Oryctolagus cuniculus: one gene and its partner. The protein of the gene in region 1 purifies or fractionates together with the protein of each later gene. This does not show direct contact. Links are inferred from orthologs where the notes say so. Each region holds a gene or a part of one and is shown in the gene's direction. Other genes may lie near its edges. The genes, in order: PSTPIP1 and WAS.

Region 1 (4,508 bases):
ACGGCCTTGCTTCGTGGCGGAGAGCGTCTGAAGAATCATTTCCAGAAGCCACTTCTTTTCTTTTTACTCTCTTGTTTGTTTGAGAGGCAGAGGGACAAAGAGAGCCAGCCAGGGCTCCCATCTCTGGGCGCACTCCCCGCCCGGGCCGGGAACCCGCTGTGGGTCTCCCACGTGCTGGACCAGGCCAGAGAGCGGCCCAGAGCTTCCTCCTGGTCACCACCTCTGCTCCTGGCTCTGCGGCCGCTGTGCTGGGGGGGGGGGCAGTGGGTGTCTCCATGGGTGTCACAGCCGGGTTCCCGTGACAGAGGCCGAGGGTGCCGGGTGGCGGCTGGGGCAGGGCCCAGGTGCAGTGCACCTGCCCACGATCGCCAGGCTAGAATCTCCCAGCGCACTGAGCTCGGAGCAGAGTCAGAGGTGGCTGGGTAAGGGGCGGGGGTGGTGGAGGAGGTGCGGGGCGGGGCCGGGGGTGGGCAGGCACTTCCTCCGAACAGCCTGGTCACTTGTGACCGTGGCTCATCGGCTGCACACCAGGATCCTGCAGGCTGCAGGCTGCGTGCTCCTGGGGACCCCAGGGCCTGCCTGCAGGGCCCCAGCAGAATGGCCGCTGTAGGTTTGCTCTGGCTTCTTCCCACTTTGGGGGTCTCCCTGGAGGGCTGGGCCGGGTGTGGCCGGGAGGGGAGAGGACTCGGAGCAGGAAGAGCAGATCTTGCTGGGGCCACCCCTGCCCTTCTCTGGGCCTCAGTTTCCCCAGGACTGAGGGGCCCTGCACCAACGCTGCCCAGCTGTCCGGTCAGGGGGATTCTGAGCTGGATGCCCAGGTCCGGAGGAGCCCTCGCGGGAGGGAGCAGGCAGGTCTGTGGCTCTTTCTCGCCGGCTGCCACAGGCTCTGACCCGGGGGGCCGGAGGCAGGGCAGGGGCTGAGCATGGGAGGCTGTGGCCCGCCCAGGGAAGCCGGCCCAGCCTGGACGGGGTGGGGGGTGGACACTGGCTCTAGGACAGGCCCAGGAACCTCTTGTCGCCCTGCAGGCAGCTGAGCCCCAGCCAGGCCCCCCCCCCCCAGGAATTTCTGGGGATGCTTTCGGAGGGGACAAGAGCTTGAGGTCCTGAGTTGCTGAGGGTGGGTCTGGCCTGGCCGGAGGGGCCGGTGGGACCCTCTGCACCATGACTGCTCCCCTGTCCCCGTCTGCGCCTCCCAGTGCCGCCTCCTGCAGGAAGCTCCCCTGGACTCTGGCTCTGTGGCCTGCTCCCCAGAGGCCCGTAATTCGAGGGGCCAGTGCTGGGTGGAGGCCGGAGCGCCAGGTTTTGACGGTGAAGCAGGAAAGGGCGTGGGGTTGCGAGAGCCCCGCTTTGGGAATGGGGTTGGGATCCGGCGGCCACAGTAAGATGGGCAACAGGTGCCACAGTTGCCCTGCCCGGCACCCAGCCAGCGTCCAGGATCCATGGCCGGTCCCTGGGACGGGCTGCCTGGGCTGCACCAGGGGAGCTAGGAGGACCCTCTGCCCAGGCCTGGGACAGTTTCCAGCAACAGCAGATCAGCCCCAGGCTGCCTGCAGGTGCTGGGTTGTCACAGGTGCTGGGTGGCCACAGCTGCTCCCTCCTCATCGCGATGCATCCAAACGCCCGCCCTGCCCCACCCCGCCCACGGAGAACATGGACTCAGGCGCTCAGCGTGCGCGCCTCACCTGGCAGGCGCAGGGGGCTGGCACGAGCCGCAACATGCAGTCAGGCTCACGTGAGCCGCCCAGGGGCCAGCCCGCTGGTGCCAGCTCCCCGGCCTGGCTTCAAGGTCGGGCCTTGGCTTTTCCAGGCTGGGTCTCCCCAGGTAAGGGCTGCTTCCCTGCGGCTCAGCCAAGTCAACAGGGCTATGGAGCTGGGGGGGGGGGCATCCGGGCCGTGCCAGGCACCCCCTGGGGGGGTGGATTTGCAGGTGGAGCTGAGGTCTCCCGGGCCGGGCCGTGTCCCCAGGCACAGCGGCCCCGCTCACTGTGCTCCTGAGCCTCTCTAGGTCCTGATGCCACCTGGTCGTCTCAGCGGGGCGATGTGGGGAGAGTGGGGGGCCTTCCGGGCCTCACTGCGCCCCCGCCCTGCCCTGTGTCAGTGCAGGGACTTCACGGCGCACACGGGCTACGAGGTGCTACTGCAGCGGCTGCTGGACGGCAGGAAGATGTGCAAGGACGTGGAGGAGCTGCTGCGGCAGAGGTGAGCGGGGGGAGCGAGGCGCCCCCACACCCCTGCTTCACAGAAGCCAGGGTGAGGCCGCCCTGCACCGCTGCCTGGGTTTGGCCCACGGTTGTTTCCAGGCCCCAGGGGTGGGGCGCTGGCGGCTGGCGTCCTGGGGGCCCGACGGCACGTGCTTGGCTTTTGCAGGGCCCAGGCGGAGGAGCGTTACGGCAAGGAGCTGGTGCAGATCGCACGGAAGGCCGGCGGACAGACGGAGATCAAGTGAGCGCTCCCGCAGCCCTCGCTGGCCGTCCTGGGCCTCAGACCGGGCGCAGGGCCTCCTGGGGCAGGGGACCCTCCTTGGAGCACCGTGTGCAGGGAAGAAGCCCCAAGGGACTGGAGGCTGGAGGGCCCTGATCCCTGGGCGCCTGCGTGTGCAGCCCCAGTCCTGAGAGGCAGGCGCCAGCCCTCTACGGGCTCGGCCGGGCTCCCAGGGTGGATGTGCGGCCAGGACTCGGGGCTGGGGACACACTGGCTCCCGTGCCAGCTCTCCGCACGCCTGCTGTGTGACCTGGGCTGGCCACGCACACTGTGATGGAGCAATACTGCAGCCCCTCCTCGGGGGCCATGTGGGTGTGGCTCGGGGTGGGGGCAGGGCTGTCTGAAGCTGCTGGGCCTCCCTGTGGTCCGAGGCCCCCACAGCCTGCGGGACAGGGCCCGGAGCGGCTGACCTCAGCGGGAAGGGGTCGTCCTGGCCTGGGGCTGCTCCTGGAAGGCGCAGGTGCTCCTGGGCGAGGGCCAGCTGGGCGCCCCAACTTCTCCCCCTGCCCAGGGGCCAGCAGCTGCCGTAGCAACCCCGTCCCTCACCCCTGCTTCCCTGGTGGTCAGGCCTGCGACGTGCCTGGCCACGCCCAAGAGACAGACCCAAGCGTACGACCCTGTTTCGAGACAGGGACCCTGGTGGGCCCCACTAGGAGCCGGAACAGAGACGGAAGGGCTGGTGGGAGATTTAAAGCTGCATGAGCCAGGGGAGACTCCTGTCCAGTGCCCAGAGGGGCCGTGCTGTGTGGCTCTGGGCAAGACGCTCCACCTCTCTGAGTCGGTGCTCATCTGCCCGCTTCAGCGGGCTGCCCTGTGGCTCCCTTAGGGTGCAGAGCGGGGCAGGAAGGCCTGTGGGACCTGGCTGGGGGAGGGGTGTGTGGGATCCCTGCTGCCTGTGCCTCCCAGGCCAGCTGGGGAACATGGACTTTCCTGGAAAAAGGGGGTGGGCCCGTGGGAGGGGAGGCGGGGGACTGCGGAGGCGGCCCGGGAGAGTTCCCCAGGGGGCCGTGAGTCACCAGGGACGGTGGCACGGAGGCTTGAGGTCGCTCAGAGACCCGGGGGGTGGGGGCAGGAGCTGCAAAGGGGCTCAGGACCGTTTCTAAAGTGTGGAGGCCGTGGGCTTGCCTGGGGCAGGGTCTGCGCTGACTCATTACTGGGTGGCCCTGGGGTGGTCACACCCTCTCCGAGATCTGGGTCCCTGCCTGGGACGGGCTGCTCCAGGCAGTCACAGACCCCACCTCGCAGGCATGGGGTCCTCACGGCTCACAGACCCCACCTCCTGGTGTGTGGCTGGGGGCCTGGCTGGGCACCCTGGCCATTTGCTTTGGGACTGGGGGAAGTGGCACAGGGAGTTGGAGGCTGGGAGTAGGGGGTGGGGCTTTAATCCAGAGGCTGCACCCAGGCAGGGAGGGGACTGGAGCCTGGGCTGGGGGTGCCAGGTGCGGGGGCTCGGCCATAGCATCAGAACCTGAGCGGCCCCTCAGCCCAGCCCCCAAGGCCTCAGGGCAGGTGGGGAGAGGTGTGGGGAAATCTGCACTGGGCGGCCAGAGGAGCAGGTGCAAGGGCGGAGCAGGGTGGGGGAGGCACTTCTGGGGGAGGCAGGGTCTGGGGGTGCTCCTGCCATAGGAGGAGGGCAAGCCCAGGGTCCACTGACAGTGCGGGAGCTGAGCCCCCCGCAGCTCCCCCCCAGGGGCCCCAGCTCAGCTAACTGCACACAGTCGGTGCTCTGTAAGTGCTGCTGTGAGGCCACGTACCCTTCCCGTTCTTCACCTGTGGGCCAGGCAGGCACTGTTTGCCCATGGAGTCCGCGAGCACTTACGCAGCGCCGACTGTGTGCCGTGTCCTGGACCGGGGTGTGTGTGTTGGGGGCGGGGGGAGGAATCCAGGAGTTAAACACAGATTCAAGGGTCCCCTTGTGGAGCAGGAGTCCAGCACGGTGAGGGGGTTCTCCCCCGTCAGCACGGCCTCCGGGACCACCCTCTCTCCGGCAGAGACCAGGTCCTGGTCCAACCTGGGGCCCCTCTCCA
Region 2 (2,853 bases), on another chromosome or scaffold:
GGGCGCTTTTGGATCAAATCCGGCAGGGAATTCAGCTGAACAAGGTGAGGACCAGCAGAAGGGAGGACTGGGGTCTGGGACTCCGGGGTGTCAGGTGCAAGTCAGCATACAGGGAGGCGGAGGCTGAGACTGATGGGGGTGCCAGGCCTTGGGGTTTAGTGCTAAGCTTGGGAGGTGGGTGGGGAGCCTTGAAAGGGATTGACGTGTGGGAGGAAAAATTACAAAGAAGGGGCGGAAGAAGTACTGAAACTCTCCTTGCTGCAGACTCCCGGGGCCCCAGAGAGCTCAGCCCTGCAGCCGCCACCGCAGACCTCCGAGGGGCTGGTGGGCGCCCTGATGCACGTGATGCAGAAAAGAAGCAGGGCCATCCACTCTTCCGGTGAGCCTGTCAGGCCCAGGCCCTGAACCTGGTTGCCAGGGCTAGCCTTGGCCTGCAAACATCCCAGGCGGTCCCCATCAACAGAAACATTATATACGTCTGTGGGTAACAGTATTGAAGAATCTTAGATCAGTCTCCTTAGTGGTAACATTTAGACAGTATATGACCATAATATAACTCTTACCTTTGACAATAGTATTAATGTAATATTAACTATTATTATCATTAGGGGTGTGCCCATGGCATTAATGCTGTCCTGTATTCAGCCCTATTAACATCAGTATGTGACAATCCTATTTTAAAGAGCACCATCTTCGACACTAACACTAACTTCCTGTACCAACAGTTTATATGAACCCATGATAATAGTAGCTAACTCCATCTTTCTACAATAATGCTAATATTAACCTCCTATTGTGGCAACAATACTATCCTTCACACATTATATGAAGATAATAGTAATTTTAACCTATTACCGGACAATAATACAATTAACTCCAACTTTGACAATAACATTAACCCCAAAGTGTGTCCACAAGATTAACGCGATTCCATTATATGACAGCATTATAACCAGCCTCATCATTTGGCAATATTATCATTAAACTCCATTATGGGTTAAAAAGATTAACATTAACCCACCATTAAGCAAAAATAAATTACCCCACTTTCACTAACAGCATTTACACTTGCCCCTTTAAGTGACAAATGGGTTAACATTAACCTGTTGTGTGACAATATCCCGACTAACCGTGTTTTTTGGAAATGTTTCTTAAAGCGTTATTTTTCAAAATTTTATTGGAAAGGCAGAATTACAGAGAAGGAGTTACAGGGAGGGAGGGAGTGAGAGAGAGAGAATCTTCCATCAACTGGTTCACTCCCCAGATGGCTGCAATAGGTGGGACTGGGCCAGGCCAAAGCCAGGAGCCTGGAAGTCCACTGGGGTCTCCCAGGTGGGAGGCAGGGGCTCAAGCACTTGGGCCATCTTCTGCTGCTTTCCCAGGCACTGGATCAGAAGTGGAGCAGCTGTGGCCGGAGTTGTGGGGTAATGGATAAATATGCTGCCTGTGATACTAGCAGCCTATATCATTCTGGTTTGTATCCCAGCTGCTCCACTGCCGATCCAGCTCCCCATTAATGGCCTGGAAAAGGAACGGAAGATGGCCCAAGTGCTGGGGCCCCTGCCACCTGTGTGTGAGACCTAGATGGAGTCTCAGGCTCCTGGCTTTGGCCATTGCAGCCATCTGGAGAGTGAACCAGCAGATGGAAGTTCGCTCTCGCTCGCTCGCTCGCTCTCTCTCTGCCTTTCAAATAAATAAATACATCTTAAAAAAAAAAATCACTTCTTGGCCTTTTGGCTAAGGTCAAGTGTAGTAAGCAGACAAACAGAAGACCCCAAAACTAAAATGCCAGGCCTCAGACTAACCATATTTTGAACAATACCATATTAATTTCAGCTCCAACTAGAACAGACTTCCCGACTATAACGCCTATCTTGTCCCAACCAGAAACCCTAACTTGACCTTAGGAATACCCCCTCAGCTCTCCAGGGCCTTTGAATTTTCCCCCCAAGCTGAACTCCCTCTGAATCCTTGTCTCCTTTCAGACGAAGGAGAGGACCAGGCCGGCGATGAGGATGAAGACGACGAGTGGGACGACTGAGTCACTGCCCACTCCCTACTCTGCTCTCTACTGCCCCTGCCTCCCGGCCCCGACTCTGCACCCCAGACCCCCAAATCCCATTTCTTCCCTGAACCCTACCTTGACTGCTGTTCTCCCTGCCTGGTCCCCACAATCACCCTCCCAATACCAAGGGCCTTTTTATATATATATAAAAATTCTCAGTCCTCTTCACTCAAGGATTTTTAAGTAAAAAATAAAGTCATTGTCTTTTTGTCTTCCCTAATGTGTTTGATTGCATTTCCAGTGTGGGAATTAGGGGTCCTTTCTCCCCAAAGTCCCTTTAGTGGATCTATCTCATTTTATTTATTTAGCCTCACATGGATATATTCATTGATTTGTTCTTTTACGTCCTCAGCCATTTTGCCTGTATTTCTTTCCATATTTATTTCCAGGCACTACTTCAGGGGCTAGGGATGAAGGAATGAGGAAGAAGTACAGAAAAATAAATTGCTGCCCTCATAGGGTTGGAATCACTCTCCTAGGGCAACAGACAAGAAAGAAAGAACCAAATAGAAATCAAGCAGAGTTACAGACCATGATGAGTGCTGTGGTGCACCATTCAGATGGTAATGGGAAGGTGACACTTGGAGGAGGTGACAGTTGTATTGAACCTAACAAAACAGAGGATGGGCCATTAGAATATTTGGGAGAAAAAGCAGTCTAAACTTTTGGGATAGCCAGTGCAAAGGCCCTGAGATGAGACAAACTTGGTGTGAGGCCAGGTGTGGTGATCATGTGCTTAATTATTTAAAAAAAAAAAAAGCTTTCAGTGAGCACAATACTAGATCAAG

Evidence for each region.
Region 2: the proteins of PSTPIP1 (region 1) and WAS purify together in Homo sapiens (affinity purification with western blotting; 3 studies listed by BioGRID and IntAct, with this or other methods). This does not show direct contact. The link is inferred for Oryctolagus cuniculus from reciprocal best matches to the Homo sapiens genes PSTPIP1 and WAS.

What each region holds. Positions count from the first base shown.
Region 1 is NC_091443.1:107,548,397-107,552,904, forward strand, and holds the start of PSTPIP1 (proline-serine-threonine phosphatase-interacting protein 1), read left to right. Parts: upstream 1-1,591; 5' UTR 1,592-1,606; coding exon 1,607-1,822; intron 1,823-2,098; coding exon 2,099-2,199; intron 2,200-2,367; coding exon 2,368-2,442; intron 2,443-4,508. UniProt on the Homo sapiens protein: Involved in regulation of the actin cytoskeleton. May regulate WAS actin-bundling activity. Bridges the interaction between ABL1 and PTPN18 leading to ABL1 dephosphorylation.
Region 2 is NC_091453.1:33,878,749-33,881,601, forward strand, and holds the end of WAS (actin nucleation-promoting factor WAS), read left to right. Parts: coding exon 1-379; intron 380-1,985; coding exon 1,986-2,013; coding exon of another isoform or gene 2,014-2,041; 3' UTR 2,042-2,280; downstream 2,281-2,853. UniProt on the Homo sapiens protein: Effector protein for Rho-type GTPases that regulates actin filament reorganization via its interaction with the Arp2/3 complex. Important for efficient actin polymerization. Possible regulator of lymphocyte and platelet function.